4 linked regions of the Callithrix jacchus genome follow. The protein of the gene in region 4 purifies or fractionates together with the protein of the main gene of each other region. This does not show direct contact. Links are inferred from orthologs where the notes say so. Each region holds a gene or a part of one and is shown on either strand. Other genes may lie near its edges.

Region 1 (4,824 bases), about 39 Mb from region 4:
GCAACCCAGAGGCCAAATCGAGTCTGGGGCTTGCAGATGGGGTTGTTTTTTGTTTCATCATGGTAATTTTTTTTTTTTTGAGACACGGTCTTACTCTGTTGCTCAGGCTAGAGTGCAGTGAGTAGGGCGATTCTTCCTCACTGCAGCCCCAAACGCCTGGGTTCAAGCAAACCTTCTGCCTTGGCCTCCCAAAGGCTTACAAGTGTGAGCCATAACGCCTGGACTCAATCAGGGCATTTCTAAAGCCCAAATTTCTAGCACCCCTCAAAAACCTGGACCATGTGTCAGCTCGGAGATGCATCCTGACCCAGCACACAGTGCTGGGGGTGAGGAGCGGCCATGTCTCTCCTGAGTGTAGGCTCCTTGAAGGCTACCACGCTCCTACCACCCAGCTGCCCTCCCTCATCACCTGGGAGCTGGCCAAGTCATAGACCCTGGAGCACTGCTATTTTCCTGGCAGGAGGCAGGGCAGAGCCAGCCATCCTCCACCTGGCTCCCTTGGGGGTCAGGAGGGGAAGGGGAGTTCTGTCAGCTTGGTGTGCTGCCATCTGCAGCCTGGGGATGGGTAGCTGGGGGTGGGTTACCTGCTTCATGATGAGGCGGGACAGGATGTTCATGACGAAGCCCCCCAGGCGGGGGTACATGGTCAAGGACTGGATGACGGTCCTCATGAGCAGCATGGGCAGGGGGCTCTGCTCCATCAGCTGCTGCATCACCACGGCCAGCACCTCTGACGTGTACACGTTCCGCTCCGCAAAGCACAGGTTGGTGGCTGCGAGGAGGCGGAGAGTGGGCCTGTCCTCTCTGCCCAGCTGCCCCCTGGGAGGTGGGAGCGCCAGCACCCTTTGAGAGCCCCGCCCTGTTGTCTGCCCACATGAGGGGAAGAGCCAACCCTGACTTCTAAAGTCCCCGGCGGAGACAGGAGACTCCCCTGACCCAGCAGAAGACACACTGCAGCCCCGCGCTTGGAAAACCTGCAGGCCTGGTTCAAGGGAGAAGACATTCAACTCCAGGAAGCCCCACAGTGAGTGGAACAGGGAGCCCGTGACACCCTCTCTTTGAGGATGACTTTGGGAAAGATGTGTTGCCAAGCCCTGGGGGAGTGGCAGGGCCCCCCACCCCTGTTAGGGAGAAAAGGCAGCCACTGGCTTCCACCAGCCCCTCCAGGGAGAACAGCAATCCACAGACCAGCTCAGCAGAGGGCTAAGGAACTGCCCACCCACTCCTGACAGGGACACAGGGCTTGCGCTGGTGCTGGAAAGATGGGGGGTGCCAGGCCAAGGTCTGTGTGGGGAATAAGGGTAGAATCAGTAGAGTAATAGTGAAGGGAGGGACAAGAGGCGACTGGAGCCAGGGCATACAATGAGCCCCCAGCTTAACACCCAGTGCCAGTACCAGTAGGACCCAGAGGGTTAGCACAGCACGAGCACCCACGAAGGCAGGCCCTGGGGTCTGTTCCCCGGGTGGGTGGCTATGCCCCAATCCACTGTGCTAATGAGAGGCCCCAGGAGCTGCCTTTGAAGCCCTTCCCCAAACACCACTTGCCATGTGAGTGTCAACCAGGAAGTCTTTATTGAGCCAGAAGAGCACCCCCCACAACCCCCAAAATCCTTGAGAGGCTAACAGAGAACAGGGGTGGGACCTCTAAGGGAGGGGGAGGCATAGACAAGTGGGGACGAGGCTGAATGGGCAGAGCAGAGAGTGGCAGAGGACCTGCCAGAAACCGAGGAAGCCCCGCTCCTCCTCAGGGCCAGGTGGTCACTGGTGCTGCCCACTCAGCCACCTAAAGGCTCCAGAATCACCCCTCCCCTCCTTCCCTGTCAGCTGTGCCTCCCGTGAGCCTCTGATCAACTTTCCATACAATAGCCTGCAGGGGGCTTTGGAAAGATCAGACCTGACTCCCTTCCCAGAGACCCTCAAGAGACAGGCCAAATTCCCACCTGACCTGCAAGAGCCCCCAGGGGCGCCCTCCCCAGTGGCCACAGCCTGACCTCTTCTCTAGACCAGGGCCCTCCTTTGTCCCCTAGGTCACCAGGCTTGGCACTGCAGGTCCAGAACCAGCTGGCGAGCGCCTCCTCGGTCCCTGCAGCCTCCTGCCTACTCGTCCTTCCCTGGTCTCAGCCCAAGGGTCCCCTCTTTCGAGACCTCCCTGATGTCCGACACCCAGGTTGGATTAGGTCACCCCTCTGCCCAGTCTCAGGACACTCCTCAGTTGTTACTGGCCAGGGACTTCCTGTGTCCCTCCCTGGACTGTACACCCTGGAAGGACAGGGCTGGGGCTCTCCCTCCCGTGTCCCCAGAACCACCCAGGATGGATATGGGGGAGCAGAGATGCTGAGTTTTCTTAATGCTGGAACAGACTACCAGGAGTGGGTCTAGTTATAGACAAGTTCTCCAGAGGAACAGGGTGGTCTATGGGGGAGCAAACAGTGCACAAGGAAAGGACTGGACTTCGTGACCTTGAGAGTGAGGCCAGCCATCTGCTGGTGCCCAAGCAGGGGGAAAATGTGGCCTGGGTGCTGGGGACACCAGCTGGAGGACTGTCTAGCCCGCAGTGTGCAGGCCTGGGCGTGTTGGAAGAAAAAGGTGGGGCTGTGTAGGGTAGGCCCTGCCGACCCCTCCAGGGACCTGGCTCCTGGTCGCCTGTGTGACCTCTGGCAAGGCCCTTTCTCCTTGGGCCTAGGCTCCTCAGGGCATCTAGGAGAATCTGGGTCCACAAATGGTCTTGGGGTGTGTGTGTGTGTGTGTGTGTGAATCCCCTCAAATTGTATGCAAACAATATGAGCATACTGTCCTGGGAACGGTAGAACTGCCCGCAGATCACCAAAGGGGTCTGGGAATGTGAGACCATAGCCCTGGCCTCTGAGCCTGGAGCTCTCTCCTCCCTGCTGGTCTCCCCCGGCTTTGGCCCCTGCTCAGTTTTAATGTGGGTTTGACATTTCCATAAGCTCCTCTCTTGACTTCAAAAGTTTCTGAGAGAACTTGCGGGGAAGGTTAGGAAGTAAGTCACTGAAAAGCTGTTTCAGGCTGGAGCATAGAAGTGAGCGGCACAGGGAGGAAGCCCCTTCCCCAGGTCTGAGGGTGAGAAGAGGAATCAAAGGACAGCGGTCTTTGGAATAGAGAAGGCGATAGTGAGGGTGTCCAGCTCCGTGGGACAGGATGGCTCCTGGCCCAGAAACCTTGCTCAGGGAGGGGTGGAGGGGCACTCTCAGGGGAGGTGGTACTCAGACCTGGAACCAGCAGAGCTGGGGCTCCCACTCAGGTCCATCTCACTTCAGATTCTGTTTTTTCCACTACACCACTTAGCTTCTGCGAGGCCGAGTAAGTCACCTAACCTCTCTGGAGCCTCCAATCCCTGTCTACACAATGGGATTGAACATACTCACCAGGTGGCACATTCGAGGACAAGCACGCTCAGGCCTGTAGGCGTTCAGGGAGAGCCCAGTGCAGAGCATGCTCAGTGAGTGTGGGCCATGATGAGCTAGCCAGTTTGTCACTGACCCTGCTGCCGTGGAGGCAAGCTCTCCTGCCTCATCTACCCCAGCCCACAAGTGCCCTGGAGCCCTGGGTCTGCCCTGCTGCAGCACCTCTGACTACCACTCATGGTGTGCCCTGCTTCCTTCTGTTCCTCAGGGCGAGGGCCGTGGCTACCGACTGCTTTAGGCCCACTCTGTGCCAGCCCACAGCAGGTGCGTCAGAGTGCCTTAGACAGAGGCAGAAAAAGTCGGGGTTGTAAAGGGTAAAACTTGGGAGGAAGGAAGGAAGGAGGAGGAAGGAGGGAGGAAGGAGAAGGGACAAAAAGGAGGGAGGGAGGGAGGAAGGGAGGTGTCTCTGCAGAGCTGACTGGTGGGGCTGTGAGTTGACTTGGCAGATTCCAGTGGAGGCATGTGGGTGATTGAGGTCCTGCCCGTGGGGCCACAGGGGCCAGGCCAGTGGAGTGGGGAGAGCACCTCACCTTTGATGATGGACTTCATGTCACACTTCACGGAGTCGATGTTGTGTAATGCGATCAGGAGCTCTCCAGGGTTCAGGGGGGACAAGGCCGAGTTTCCCTCACCTGCAGCAGGCAGAAGGAAGGGCGGGGGAGACAGTACAGTTGCTTAAGTGAAGAGACGGGTTTGAGTTTCTCAGATTGGGGGAGCTGCGAGCAAAGATGAGGTACCCTCTGCTTTCAGGGCTGGAGCAGGGCAAGTAACTGACAACAGAAAAAGGGAACGCTGAAGGCAGCAGGTACCCTCAGGCAGCCTGAGGTCACCAAAGTGTGCTCCTCCCCATCCGGGACTCCCACCATAGGTAGAGTGTGGCATGGCCCTGAGCTGTGTACCCCTAAGGGCAGGGAAGACCACCTCATTGTGTAGTCCCCAACACAGACACCAACAACAGAGACACCAAGGCAGCACAGGGGCTCATGCGCATTTGCAGAACAGGGCAGGATGGGGCCAGGCTGGACTTCCATAAAGTGGCTGGAACCTTCCCCTGCGTGGGGCCTGGATGGGAGGAGGCTGGGGGTAGGGAGGTCTTTGCTGCTCTTTTGATGGTACCAGAGCCGTCTATGTGTGTGTTTTAAACCACCAGGGTCTGCGTGGAACAGATCAGCCTCCATTCTTTCTCTGGTTCCAACCACCGGGGTAAGGGGCAAAGAACCTCTTCTACCTTACTTGCTAGTTTTTCTAAGTTGAAAATTTTACTTTCGTTTCTTTCTGACCTCGTCAAAGGAAATGCCCCTGGCCCCAGCTCCATGGTCTTGCCCCTGCCGTGAATGAAACCATCATCCAAACATCCCAGAGGGTGGCCTGGGAGCTCTGGGACACGGAGGCGTCCAGT
Region 2 (5,333 bases), on a different chromosome or scaffold from region 4:
TGTAGTCCCAGCACTTTGGAAGGTGGAGGCAGGCAGATCACCTGAGGTCAGGAGTTCGAGACCAGCCTGGCCAACATGGTAAAACCCCATCTCTACTAAAAATACAAAAATTAGCCAAGTGTGGTGGCACACACCTGCAGTCTCAGCTACTCAGGAGGCTGAGGCAGGAGAATCACTTGAACCTGGGAGGCAGAGATTGTAATGAGCCAAGATTGAGCCACTGCACTCCAGCCTGGGGGACGGAGAGATACTCCAACTCAATTTAAAAAAAAAAAAAGAAAGAAAGAAAGAAATGGGTAAGAAAATGAAGAGAAAAAAGAGGACCGAAATGAGAGAAAATTGGGAAGGGTGCTAGACAGGGGGAAGCCAGACTCCCTGGGTCTAATTCACAACTCTGCTTCTCCATGTGCATGTGCCTCTGCTTCCTGGGACAGGGATGACAGCAAAGAAGGACAAAGGTGGTGTGAGGTGTTGGGTTAGGGTGACAGGATCAAGGAGACCTTTTCTCAACCCTCTGTGTAAAAGGTTGGGAAGTAGTGGCCAGTCACCTTCACAGCATAGCTCATAGCTGTAACCTGTGGGGTATGTGTCAGTGTGCCTTCTGTAAGCAAACAAACATGAGTGAGTGTGCTTGCTGAGGTCGGTGTGGGAACCTGTCAGTCGATGAGGTTGTGTTGTTGTGTGAACCAGCTGATGGTGCGTGTTTGTGCTTGAAAAAGCCATAAAGTTCTATGCAATGTCTATGGGTGGCACTGTTGCACAATGCTGGTGGGTGTGTGGGTATGGGGGTGTGATTAACAGTTTACAGGCTGTGTCTAAGTGTGCATGGATGTCTGAGTGTGTGCAAATTAAAATGGAAATGTGTGCCGGGGTATGATACAAGTACAGGAGAGTACAAGGGCTTTGAAGCCCGTCTGTCTTGGCCTTGAATCGTTGGCTCTGTCATTAACCGATGTATAACCTTGGGCCAGTCACTCAATCCCCAATTTCCTCAGCTAGGAAATGAGGCTAATAATAAGTACCTTTCAAGATTGCCGTGAGGACTAGAAATGATACTGTATAGACAAAACTTTTGGTGTCATAAAGGGGCAGCAATTTCCATGCACTGTCAGTATACCTCTAGTGGGTACAGGGACAAGAGGGAACAAAACATGACCTGTATGTGAGGTGTGAGGGAGGAGGGGTGCGTGCATGCGTGTGCGTGTGTGTGTGTGTGTGTGTGCGCATACAAAACAATTTCTTCTCCTTCTCCAAGGAGCCCCTAGTCAGACAGGAGCAGGAAGGTGGGAGGGGACATACAGGTGTCCACGGACTCCTTGGGTTTCTTGGTCCCGGATCTAAGTGAGTAAGGGGTGGAGAGGCCAGTAGGAGCTGCAGGAAGCCAACCACAGGCAGAAGCTTCCTTTTTTTCCCCTCCGCCCAGCAACCGTTGAATACCGCCACCCACATCCACTCCCTACCTCCACCCTCACACCTCCTCCGCCCCTACTCAGCTTTCTTTTCAACAAGTGAGGGCCAGAGCAGCAAAGAAAGCTGAGGGGGGAGAGGATTCCTCCCCTTTCTCTCTCCATTCCCCCTTAAGACGAACCAGGAAGCAACTGCAGGAATCGGGCCACCTTAACAGTAGAGTAATGGTTTGGCCTCGTGCCAAGTCCCACCTCTGTTCCAGCTCCCGCTCCTCCCCTCTCTCTTCCCGCACTGCCTGGGGAGAGCTGGTGAGCAAGAGTCTGGCCGGAGTTAGCTGGAGCTGTTGCCATGACAAGCATTTTCTTAAGAAAGCTCCGCTGTTGAGATCGTCCAAAGCTGGGGGCTGGGAGGGGGGCACGAACTTCCTGGGAAACCATCCCTCTGAAGAGAGCAAGATCAGAGACCCGCCTAGCTCCCCTGCACCCGTTTTCTTTCAGGAACCTGAGAGGTCCTTCCCATTGGAAGGGCAGGGGGAGGAGACCCAGCCCACTCCCCGGCCTTAGCCGGAAAGGCAAGAGAGCAAAGCCAGCATCTCTAGCTTGGTTGCCACACTGGGGAGACTGGTGGTGGTCACCCCACCCTACCCCCATCCATGGAAACCCGGAGGGAGAGTCCCGCGCGGAGAAACCTGGATCTTTGCTAGAAAGAGAGGTAGGCTTGCAGAGAATGAATTGACTTGTGATTTGCAAACTTTGTTTCTTTCTTTTCTCTCAATGGCTTCTAAAACTCCCAGGTTTTCCTCTTTCTAGCATGTTTCATGCGACTGGTTTTGGAGGGTTTTTAAAAATATGTGTGTGTGCAGTGTGTGCACAGATTTGTCAAATACTGTTTTACCTCTTATCAGTTCTGAGAAACCATGTAATGGAACAAGTGATCTTTTCCTAGTTCTTGTCATTCCTGGGCTATGGGGTTAGAGGAATGGAGGCACTCTCTTTTTGACACCAAAATTGAGCTCTTGGAAAAGACATTTATCTCCCCTCCTTCACCCCATTCTGTTCCTGTCCTCCCCTTCCCCCTTGGCTTGGGAATGGGACGCAGGATGGAAAACTGTTGCAAAAATATTTTCCGTGTCTGTTCCCTTTCTCGAAAGCCCAAAAGAGAGATGGGGGAAAAAGGGGGGGAACCAAAGAAATCTTCTGCGGGAAAGAGGGGCTGCAGCGGGAAGTAGGGGAGGGGCACTCTGGGGCCGTGGGGTGGAGGTGGGCTGGGAGTTGGAAGGAGCGGGGAAGGACAGGGCACAAATGAAATTTCTTTAGCTTTGCAGAGAAACCTCAGCAGTTTCTCTGTGCTGCTTGCAAAACATCCTCAGACTTTCACATCTATAATTAGCTGTGGAAAAAGCTGGGAGTTCCCTCGTACCGCTGTTGTTTGAGTGTGTGTGAACGTCCAGAACCAACTGTATGAGTGTCTCCGAGGGCACCGCCCCATACATCGCAGGTCCCAAAGGGGAGGAAGGAAGGAGAACGGTGAATTGAAAAGTTTCCAATTTCGAGGCTGGAGACTGTGGGGCTGGTGAGTGCTCGGTGGACTGGGTGGGCCACAGGCATCTGTGGGCGAGTCCCTGAGCGTCTTGGGTCACTGCCGTGGCTAGCCGAAGAGCTAGGAATTAAGGCCGGGATTGTCCTCCCTTCTCTCTCTCTCACGATCTCTTTCTCACACAAACTTGGCTCGCTCTTGGTAGAGGGGGCTGCTGGCTTCCTTCCCCGAGTCCAGTCTGACCTCATACACTCCTCCACCTCCCTGAGGGCACCGGCTCTTCTCCAGCTGGGTGTGGAGGGCGCAGGAGTGGTCAGCCACATCATGGGAGAGGAGTGGGCACTGCTGTCCAGAAGCACCTCCCTCCTGGGCATTCCTGCCGGACTTACAATAACTTGCAGACCTGATGCCGGCGCCTGCTGGCTGGGCAGGGGGAATGTCAGATGAAGAAATAGGCCGGCACTCAACTGAGGCCCCTGTGGGTCGGGGAAGGGCGGAGGGAGGGAAGGGAAACAAAATCCCATTCTGCAGTGCCCCTCTCCTCAGGGTGAGGAGTCTGGGAATCTAGAGACCCTGGCCCCGCTCCTTCAGCTCCTCCCCAAGCTGCCCCTTCTCCAGCCCTTCCCATTGGAGGCCCTGCTGCAATGCACCGCTCCACTCTGGGCCCTCTACCTGCAGGAAGGGAGGAGACCAGGGTCATTCCAGGCTGGGCCAGGCCCAGGAAAGGAGCCTGGGGGTGACGAGGGGCTGGGCCCTTAGCGTTTAGGAGCTGGATCTCCTTCCTCGGCCTGGGTCTCCCCCACAAGCAAGGTCTCCCTCCTTGGCTGAGGGTGATGGCTTGGGGAGCAGAATCTGGGAGGGCAGGAAGGACGGTGGCAGCTTGGTAAGGGATGTTGTGGAAGGTGGGCCCTAAACCCTGAAGCAGAGAAGTCCGTGCGAATCAGGCTAGCCGGGAGGAAACACCTGCTTTCAGGCCCAGGGCTTGGAGGAGTGGTAAAGGCTAGAGCTGAGAAACTAGGGGAGACGGAAGCAAACGACTTGTCGGAGAGCTCATCTCGGGGCTGGGGAAGCAACAGGAACCGATTTTCATTTCGAGGTGTTGATTGATCTGACTGCACCCCCAGGCTGTAGGCTAGACAGCTCTTCCCCACCGGCATTCTGGTCGAGAAGGGCCTGAGGCCTTCTCCAGTGGGCAGGGACCCACAGACCGAACGCCCGTGTTCTGGAGGGAGGGGATCCATTTCTTTGCGCCTCGGGAGTCCCATCCTCCCTGCCACCATCTTGCTGAGGTACAACTCCAAAAATCACGCCGCTTCCGCAGCGGCCTCCTATCGTGGGGGCCCACAGTGCCACTATTCCTGCAGCCGGCCTTCCTATTTTCAGGAATCTGATGAGGGGTCGATGCTGAAGGGCTCGGGGACGGCTTCTCCAGGAAGTCGTTATTTAGCGCGCACCGGGGTACCTGCTCCCGCGGCTTTGAGCCCGGGGTGGCGCCCAAAGAGGGAATCGGCTCCCGCGGCCCCAGCCCTTCCCCCGGGGCTCGGGGCCGGATCGAGTGCGCGCTCCCGGGGCCCCTCCTCTCTCCGCGGCCTCTGCGACCCCGCCCCGCCAGCCTCTCCGCCGCTGGGCTCCACCCTCCGGGGCTCTGCCGTAGTCTGAGAACTCCGAGGAGAATGCGCTCAGAGCTGCGAACCGAGGCTTCCTGCCTCCCAGGTCGTGCCGAGCCCCAGTCCCTTCTCCCTTCCATTTACCACCACGTCTCGGGATTCAAGGTCAAGTGGGAGGCGCGCAGCCCGTCTTACCCCCGGGAGCCCAGCGCCCAACGCCCAGCGCCGAGCCTGGGACATTAGAGCTCTGGGTCAGTGCGCGCTGAGAGAATAAGGGCAGTTTGGGGGGCTTTGGAATCAGCCTGATGCCAGCGGGTTCCTAACCCGCCGTCCGGCCTCCACGGTAGAGGCGACAGGGCGTGGCTAGGCAGATTTATCACATTGCTGTGGTCAGTAGAAAACCAAAAATAGGAAGGCCCAGTTAGGGGCGGAAGGAGAGCAGTTAGAATTTGCTGGGTGTGGGTGCTGGAAGAGGTAAGGCACGGTGTAGGGGCTGGACGTCCTGGGCCAGGATATCGGGAGGCTTTACTCTTACCCACTCCCACTGACTGGGAGGTCCCCAGAGGAACAGGGGCTGGGCTGCTCCCTGCCACCTGTCAGCAGGTCACACCTTCCACCGGAGACCGCCTCTTACTCAAGGATTTAGTTTCCCTCCAAAACTCCAGAACCCAGATGGGCTCTTTTCTCTCTTGTTTTTCAATGCTCCCGGCAAAGACATGGATCAGCCCTCCCCACTAGGAAAGAATATTGCGGACCCACTAAGCATTGGACAGAGGAAAGGAT
Region 3 (3,813 bases), on a different chromosome or scaffold from region 4:
TGATGAAACCCTGTCTCCACTAAAAATACAAAAATTAGCTGGGTGTGGTGGCATGTATCTGTAGTTCCAGCTACTTGGGAAGCTGAGGCAGGAGAACCGCTTGAACCTGGGAGGTAGAGATTGCAGAGGGCCGAGATGGCACCACTGTACTCCAGCCTGGCGACAGAGCAAGACTTAGTCCCCGCAAAAATAAAAATAAATAAAATAAAATAAAGCTGAACACATTGCTTTGTCTTTGCTGTCAAATCAAAGCAGGAAAAACTCATTTCCACTGAACACAGTGGAAGTAGGATTACATGTTCTAAGTTTATTTTTATGCATTAACTATTTGTGGAATTGTTTCTTACTTGTTCTCGTATTTAAATGGCCCAGTTTCCAAATAAAGCATAGGTTTCAAGCCTTAAGAATCGACATGGAAACAGCAAAGGATTTACTGAATCCCAAATCCATTTGCTTTCCCCTGAGATAATTATATTCTTTCCTCCAAGCTTCCTGCTGTTTCATAGTCAATAGCTTCTAATAGGTCTCTTTCACTTCCCAACTCCCAGGAGCTGTTCTCCATCTGGTTTTGTTCCAGACAGTGCAAAAGATGCTAGTTCAAGCTTCTTGAAACTCCTATGCAAGCAAGGTGTGTTCTCAAGGGTAAGCTTCTTCAATAGCTCTTTGTAGATCTGGCCAGGTGCGGTGGCTCACGCCTGTAAACCCAGCACTTTGGGAGGCCGAGATGGAGAGATCACTTGAGGTCAGGAGTTTGAGACCAGTCTGGCCAACATGGTGAAACCCCATTTCTACCAAAAAATACCAAAAAACCCCACAAAACAAACAAAAACAAAAGCAGCTGGGCATGATGATGTACACCTGTGGTCACATCTACTCCGGAGGGAGAGGTGGGAGAATCACTTGAACCTGGGAGGTGGAGGTTGCAGGATCGCACCACTGTACTCCAGCCTGAGCTCATTCAAGTGATCCTCCTACCTCAGCCTTTTGAGTAGCTGGGACTACAGGTGTGTGCCACCACGCCCAGCTAATTTTTGTATTTTTAATAGAGATGGCCAGGATGGTCTCAATCTCTTCACCTCGTGATCTGCCCACCTCGCCTGGGCCAGTTTTCTTTTAGTATCCAGAGCTTCAGTGCTGATGTCATACCTTCATTCAAAAGTCAATGTAAAAATTTAATACATATGGTAAGCTGAAAAGTGTTAGTGAAACAGGAGCTGAGCTTTGCTTTTCCAAACATGTTTCCAAAAGCTTATTTTATTTTAAAACACACACACAGTGTTGGATACAAAGGCCTTTAACCACTGTGGTGGGGAAGAGCAAACTGACTGCTTCCAATGATCGTCTCTTCCCTCTGCATCCACTGTTCTCGAAGTCTCAGGGAGTAGGAGAAGGCGCGTCTCTCCCTTCATTTCCCTGTTTGTTGTAATGAGTCCTTTGATGACAGTAAGTACGTGACTGAATTTTCCATAACTATTTGTCGATTATCAAAGTTTTGCAGTGGCTGGTTTTCCTATTGGTGTCTTACAACCTGAGATTAAAAAAAAAGAGATGTATCTCATGAAATGATGTTGATTTTGCCCTTCTTCATACAGCTGTTCCTTAAACGACTGCCCAGGGAGACAGTGGACACTTATGCAGAGCTGTACAGACTGGCCAGTACCCATGGGGACACTAGCCCCCTCCACAAGGGAAGCGGTAGGCGCTCCAAGAAGTGACGGTGTGACCAGAGCCACAGGGCTAGGAGTTGAACCCTGTCATGTTTTCTGAACTACCAGTCCAATATGTTCACGCTCACATTACATCTGCTTCCTGTGATCACAAAAACAGTACTTGTAAGATGATCCACTCAAGGACACTGTGCTATTCAATATAATCTACAGATATTTTTTCCAAATGTTAACAACCTCCTTTCTAAAATGGCCCCATCACTGCTAGGAAATGTGTTTTTCATCTCCTCTGACTGTATCTGTGTTTATGTCAACACTCAAGGACTCTTACTGTCAAGGAAGGCAACACTCAAGGACTGTTTTTTAGGCTGGACTATTTCTTTGTAGCTGATAGGCTCTAGAGAAGAGGAAGGGTTGGATTATTCCCACAAGGATGTGCTCAGCCCCTAATTCTGAGTTCAGAAAGTCTATGTGATAGGGACACTGACCCTAATCCCTCACTTGGAAAAGCAGCAATGCAAGACAGTGAGGGCATGAAACAAAGGGTGAAAATGAGGCGCTCTCTCCGAGGCAAGGATGTGAAGGGGCTGGGCCTCTGGCCGAGATCAGTCACGTTAGGGACAGACTCTTTCTATTGTGTAAGACTGCTTCTTTCATGCCTGTTGTGTTTTGTTAATTTTCTTTGCATTTTCTCTTTAGCTTCCTTGAGAAAATGCTACACTATAATTCCCTGTTTATGTTAGAAACCTACTACTTACTGATCATTTTGATAAAGTATTTGGTTCCACAGCATACTTTCTTATTTTAATTGATAACAAAATGTGAAAACTCGTATTTTATTAAACTGCACTTACCAAGCATTTCTTCTAATTTGGTTGTGGCAGGTTCATTCACATTAAATATACAGTTATTATTTCTAGGAGAAGATAACAAGATTTATTATTACATAAACTCTGGGGAAAAGACAGCTTTTCTATTTTGTTCCTGACGGTAGCTATTGTTTTCAACTGCCTTCCCCAAGGCCAGTCCTAAGTAGTCGAAAGCCTCGGGCTCCTGTCCCACCTCCCGGCTGCTTGCTTCATTCTTCTGACCACTTAAGAGACATGACTGCCAGAGGTTACATATTAAGCTTTACCACTGTTAAATTCAATCCCTTGAATGAATTTGTTTATATGTTTATTCAAACATATAAACACATATTTATATGTTTATATACATACACATGTCTGTATCTATATATGTATTACATATGTATTTATCTATTATATATGTATTATGTATGTATACACTCATATGCCCACTCCACTCCCAAAAATCTTTCTTGTAATTATAAATTTCAACATTAGGTCAAAGCAAAAATATTGGCCTAAAAGTACTTTCTTTCTTTGCTTCAACTGCATTTCTATTCAAAACCACGTATAATTTTCAGGGTAACTCATACTGACTTAATGAATTAGGGGATAGATAAGTAAAGTACAATATAACGTTTCCTGGATCATCCATTTCTATGTCTCTGTGGATTTTCTGCTGAAATGTCATTCGTTTCCCTGTTTCTTGAGCACCCACGGAATCTTGTACAGCACTTACATCTTCTTTTTCTCCACTACTCCGAGCCTCACACAAGCTGCTAAGGCATTTTTCTGCACATCAGAAGATAATACATCGTAACATTGAGAGGTACCTAAAATCAGGAGTGAGGAAGAGTTAGTTGACCAGTTTTTGTTCTCAACTAAAGGAAATCAGCACCCACAGAGCAGTGACTGACCTTGATCGAGAAGCTGACTTGTGAATTTTCTGACTGCGGCCAAGTACTGTTTCTCACTGAAGTGCTCCTCTTCTTCACTCAAAAGGTACTTGCAAATTATCTGATTTTAAGAGGAAGGATGAGAGGAACAGAAACAGAAAAAAAAAAAAAAAGACAATAAACAGTAAATAACTTTACATTGCCCCTCTTAAGAGAATGACATATCACAGCAGAGCAGCATAAAGACCCTCCAAGGAATCAGCACAGAGAAACCAAATAATTTTTAGGACATCTCCTTTGAGTTTACAATACATTTTACAATTAGAAAAAGGTTTAAAATAATAACATTAATTAAAGTATAATTTCTCTCTTCAAGGGGTACAAGTTAATTACCATCAGCCT
Region 4 (4,824 bases):
GACAGGAGGGTGAGAGAGGAGCCTGGAACCACAGGGCCCGCAGGAGAGGCCGTTCCCCTCCAGCTTCTCCAGGCAGTGGACAGTCGGTGGTGCCCAGCAGCCCTAGCCGCAGACTCACCTCGGAGCGGGATGCTGGCCCTGCCCGTGGGCTCAGGGAGGAAGACGCAGAAGTACTCTCCCCAGCGGTCATCGGGGTCCACCCTGCAAGCACAGCAGGTGGGTGAGCCATGTACCGGCTCTGCAGGACGCCTCCCAGGACCCAGGGTCCAGTGAAAAAGCAAGGCTGAACCTCAGCACAAGCCCTGGTCTCCTGCAGACCCAGGGAGAGCCAGGCTGGCAAGACCCCATGGGAAGCGGTGAGAAAACCAACAGACGGCCCCCGCCCCGGACCGACGCACCCACACCTCTGGTCCCTACTCTGCACCCTATACCCTGTGACCATCTTCCCGGCTCTGTGCTCCCAGGGCCGCCCCAGCCCAGTTATGACGAGGCTCCAGCCATGGTGGCTGGCGTCTGGGGTCCGCAAAGGGCAGGCCTCAGGGTGGCACTCTCTTGTGTCAGAAGCACGCGCTCATGAGTTGCACGTGTGCCAAGGACCTGGCAAGGGAGCAACAAGCTTAGCTCCCAGGGGCGTCCCTCAGGACCTTCCCTGGGGCTTCCCTCTGGGGGTCTGAGCAGATCTCATCCCTAACTTCCGCCTGGATCAAGCCTGTTCTCACGGCCCACAGAGGCCGATGGCAGCAAGAGAGCGGTGAGAAGGCCACGCAGTGGCGTCGCGGGGCCCGGCACTCACTCCAGGTTCATTCTCTGTCCAGGCTGCGAATCCTCCTGCAACACCACGTCCCCTTTCAGCCAGCGGTGCCCGGTGACCTCTGTGGCGTTGTCATTCAAAGAGCAGGTGAGGAGCGTCTTGGAGCCGACGTTTTCTACGGAGGTGGAAACTGCCCCAGCTGCGAGGCCCGGGGAGACGCAGTCAGCACACAGTGGAAGAGCACAGCCCGCGCTGCCTGCCTGACACCCAGGAACCCACAGCTCCTCCCTGAACGACTTGTTTTCGGCTCTGAAACTACACCGTGGCCCTGACACCCCGAGGGGAACATCTGGCTGCACCTCCGGAAGGTGCCTTTGCTGGCAGCTGATGGGCCCCACCCAGTGATCTCCTGTCCAGAGACACAGGAGGCTGGGTCCCAGGTGTCGGGACAGACAAGGCACCCACCCCGTCCCTGAGCAGGGACCAGGGCACAGAGCTCTTGAGCAGCCCCAGCACAAACTGGAAATTTCTGTCTGAAAAAAACAGCCAAATCGCCCCCCGGCCAAGGCTGCCTCCCTGGCCAAGGCTGCCTCCTTCGACGGCCCCTCAGATGCCCGCTGGTGGAGACCTGCCCCTGGATGGGGCTCCCAGGTGACCCCATCCACCCGATTCCAGGCTGACGGCACTGCAGCACTGGGAGCACCCGGTTCTCCTGCCAATCCCCATCGAGCAAATCTCTTGGTTAATTTACAATGTTCCGGTTAGGACTGAATGTGAAAATCCCTTAGGACGAGACGCTGAGCAGGACACAGAAGGTTCTGAGGGCAGCAAGCCTGGACTGAGGCTGGAGGGCCCCTCAGGCTGGCAGTGTGGACAGACACTCAGGAAAGGAGCCAGGCAGGCGCCCGGGGGAGCAGAGAGGGACGGCGGCACAGACAGTGCAGGGTCGAGGGAGGACAAGGACCCACCTGCTGGAAGGCAGAGCTCTGCCCGCCCCAAGCCAGGTCGCCCAGCGCTGGCGGTCAAGGGCGAGTCCACCCCTTCAGGTCTGGGCCCCCCTGTCCCAGTGGTGGGCCCAGCAGGGCAGAGAGGGGCAGGAGGCGTCTGGGTTCTATCAGCAGGAGCGGCACAGGAGGGAACCAGGGAGGCGGGGAGGGAGGCGCCCGCCACTCACGTTGCAGGACTAGCACCACCGCCTGGGCGCGGACCCACTTGACCCTGGGCGCCCGGGTCAGGTGGTTGCGGTCCGGGTCGTTGCTGGCCCGGCACTCGTAGGTGCCCGAGTCCTCCTCTGCGAGCGTGTCGATGGAGATGGTGCTGGCTGCGTGCTGGCGGTAGGTGGCGTGGATGTGGACGCGGTTCAGCCGGGCGCCGTCCCAGAGCTGGGAGCAGGTGTCGTTGGGACCGTGCCCCTCAAACCACCACTGGATCTCCGGCACTGGGCTGCCCACAGCCTCACAGTGCAGCTCCACACGGCCCCCCACCCGCCTCTGCTGGGACAGTGGCGCCCGCACAAAGCCAGCTGCAGGGAGAGCGGGCGCGGAGCCTCGTTAGTGCCGCCCTGGGGAAGGCCTCGCCCACAGGACTCCTGGCCAGGGCTGGGGGGAAGCTGCTTCCTTTCGGCTTGTGGGAGAGTGACGGGGCTGGGCTGCCAAAGGGCAGCGCATGAGAAAGACCGTGGGAGCCACCGTGGACGCCCCCCTGACTCCCACCCTCCCAGCAGACACACTGGCTTCTGATGGCATAAATGAGGAACCACACGTAGCTTAAAACACAAAACCCATGAAACTGGGCAGAACAGCCAGGAATTTAAGCCCCAAGGGCCTCTCTGTCAGAGGACTGTGGGCATGGCTGCCCCAACTTCCAGACTGCCGGTCCCCAGGGCAGCATCCTCTGCCTTCTGCCCGATACCCTGACCCGAGAGATCCGGTGAGCTGCAGAGAAAATAAAATCCCAAAGCCCACAGGGGCAGGGGGCTCTGTCCAGGAGGCCCCACTCAGGCTGTTAGGACGGCCTGCGGGTGGAAAGTGCTTGTGTCCTCAGCAATCTCAGGGCAGCCACCCAGAGAAGAGGATTTGGGAAGACGGAGCCGGCAGTGCCTCAGGGACCGTTACCACTGGCCCACCACCACTCCTCCCTTCAAAACAGAAGGGAAGGCCCCGGAGCTGAAAGGAGCACAGGAGAATCCACACGCACCCTCCCACTGTGCCTGGCACCCGCCTGCCAGGAACTGCCCTGCCCTGGGGAAGCACGGGGAGCAGGCGCGGGGACTGTGCAGCCCTTCCCTAGAACATCCAGGGTAAACATGCCTCGCCCACCTGCGCCACCTCCTGCCAGGACCGTGCAGCCCGTCTTAGAACACTCAGAGGAAGTGGGGAATGGGCGCACCCCACCCACCTGCAACTCCTGCCAGGACTGTGCAGCCCCTCCTAGAATGCCCTCTGAGGTCAGGCTCCCAGACACCGCTATAACATATGCATTCAAGGACACACGTCCGCAGACACACACCACACAGGCACACACACATGCTCACAGCTCTGAGACTGCATAGCAGTGCACATGTCATGGGCCCCAAGGCCCCAGGGACAGGGGATGTTCACAGCTGACCCCCTGAGGTGAACTCCAGGCAGGAGCAATTAACAACGTTTGGCAGTGCCACTTTCACAAAGGGTCCCCTCCTGGTAACCTACATTTCCCAGACTGCAAAACAGCAGCGACGTGCAGAGCCTGGCGAGGCGAGTCAGGGCAGGAAGTGCAGCCAGAGGCAGCCCGGCTGGCAAGCTCCTTCCGGCCCCACAGTGGCCCCCTCCTTCTCCTCCTCCTCCTCCTCCTAAGGCCCTGCGAAGCTGCCCTCCACATCCTCCTCACTGTCCTCACCCGGGGTGCTAAGGCAGGGCTGGCTCCTGAGTCAACACACCCCACCTTCAGGCAGGGCAGGGCCAGGGCACGGGGCAGAGCAGAGGAGCTGGAGGCCTGCAGCCAACCTGCCCCCACCCACCTTCCCCCCAGGCCCTGAAGAGGCCCCTGTGATCCAGCCTCCAGCCTCGGGAATACCCAGGCGTCCTGTGGGAAACCGAGCCAGCCTGTGCCTCGAAGTCCAAGGCTCTGAGGGGCCGTCTGCACCGGTGACCGTGCTGCAACTGGGTCCTCCACCTTCTCAGCGGGTGGACGGCATCACTCCCAAAGGGACCAAAAGGCTCTGGACAGAACAACCGCCCGTGGGCCCTCCGTTTGCTGATGGCGCTGGTGTCTGTTCTGAAGTGCCACTAGTGTGGGCCACAGGAGGAGAAAGCCTCCATAGAGGCTCCTGGGTACGCTGGAGAGCCCCCCACCCCACCGGGCAACCCGCCCTCCATGCCAGGAGCCTCCACTCAGGAGCACTAGGAGGAGGGGCAGTGCCTGACTCTCAGCCACAGGCCCCAGAAAGGTGAGCATTCGATTCTGGCCACATGACCCATAACCCATGTTCTCAAGTAAAGTCACCTTCATCTAAAAACAGCCACCGCCTCCTTGCCCACTCGGCAGCCAGGCTGGGGCTCAGGGCCAGGCAGGCCTCGTGGTACACAAGCAGCCCCACAGGATAAGGCCGGCCGCCCGCCCCCATCCGCCCTCCTCCCCACCCACTGCAGCACTCTGACAGAAGCCAGAGAAAACAGCTCTGGGAGGCGTCTGCGGGCACCTCCCTCCCCACCCCACCTGCTGCAGCCAGGCACTCCCACTCCTCCCATAGGAGGCTCAGGGGTGAAGCCCTCTGCCCTTGGGACCCAGCCGGCACACTGGGGCCCTCCAGTCTGACAAGCCCACAGGAGCTATAGATGGCCAACCTCAGGCACTTGCCCCACCCAAGCCCCCAGAGGCCCCTGAAGCAAGGTTCAGGAGACGCAAACAGGGTCACGAATACACAGAGCAAACATCAGTGTCCACCCCACGCAGGACACAAGGCTGTGTAGCCCAGACCTTCGGGTCTTCAGGAGTCAGTCCCCAGCAAAGGTGGCGTTTGTTAAAAGCACAGAGACGCTCCGAGGACGGGGACCCACGTCCCATCCCCCACACGTGTGCTCAAGCAAACACAC

The links.
Region 1: the proteins of BSG (region 4) and SYMPK purify together in Homo sapiens (co-immunoprecipitation; 3 studies listed by BioGRID and IntAct, counting the BioPlex papers as one, with this or other methods). This does not show direct contact. The link is inferred for Callithrix jacchus from reciprocal best matches to the Homo sapiens genes BSG and SYMPK.
Region 2: the proteins of BSG (region 4) and ATP2B4 purify together in Homo sapiens (affinity purification with mass spectrometry; 3 studies listed by BioGRID and IntAct, counting the BioPlex papers as one, with this or other methods). This does not show direct contact. The link is inferred for Callithrix jacchus from reciprocal best matches to the Homo sapiens genes BSG and ATP2B4.
Region 3: the proteins of BSG (region 4) and GNPAT purify together in Homo sapiens (affinity purification with mass spectrometry; 3 studies listed by BioGRID and IntAct, counting the BioPlex papers as one, with this or other methods). This does not show direct contact. The link is inferred for Callithrix jacchus from reciprocal best matches to the Homo sapiens genes BSG and GNPAT.

What each region holds. Positions count from the first base shown.
Region 1 is NC_133523.1:39,974,288-39,979,111, forward strand, and holds part of SYMPK (symplekin), read right to left. Parts: intron 4,058-4,824; coding exon 3,956-4,057; intron 773-3,955; coding exon 585-772; intron 1-584. UniProt on the Homo sapiens protein: Scaffold protein that functions as a component of a multimolecular complex involved in histone mRNA 3'-end processing. Specific component of the tight junction (TJ) plaque, but might not be an exclusively junctional component. May have a house-keeping rule.
Region 2 is NC_133520.1:30,691,164-30,696,496, forward strand, and holds the start of ATP2B4 (plasma membrane calcium-transporting ATPase 4), read left to right. Parts: upstream 1-1,697; 5' UTR 1,698-2,118; intron 2,119-2,830; exon of another isoform or gene 2,831-2,979; intron 2,980-5,333. UniProt on the Homo sapiens protein: Calcium/calmodulin-regulated and magnesium-dependent enzyme that catalyzes the hydrolysis of ATP coupled with the transport of calcium out of the cell. By regulating sperm cell calcium homeostasis, may play a role in sperm motility.
Region 3 is NC_133520.1:53,563,757-53,567,569, forward strand, and holds the end of GNPAT (dihydroxyacetone phosphate acyltransferase), read right to left. Parts: intron 3,533-3,813; coding exon 3,433-3,532; intron 3,349-3,432; coding exon 3,255-3,348; intron 2,584-3,254; coding exon 2,522-2,583; intron 1,529-2,521; coding exon 1,485-1,528; 3' UTR 1,226-1,484; downstream 1-1,225. UniProt on the Homo sapiens protein: Dihydroxyacetonephosphate acyltransferase catalyzing the first step in the biosynthesis of plasmalogens, a subset of phospholipids that differ from other glycerolipids by having an alkyl chain attached through a vinyl ether linkage at the sn-1 position of the glycerol backbone, and which unique physical properties have an impact on various aspects of cell signaling and membrane biology.
Region 4 is NC_133523.1:533,780-538,603, reverse strand, and holds part of BSG (basigin), read right to left. Parts: intron 2,274-4,824; coding exon 1,926-2,273; intron 951-1,925; coding exon 794-950; intron 202-793; coding exon 119-201; intron 1-118.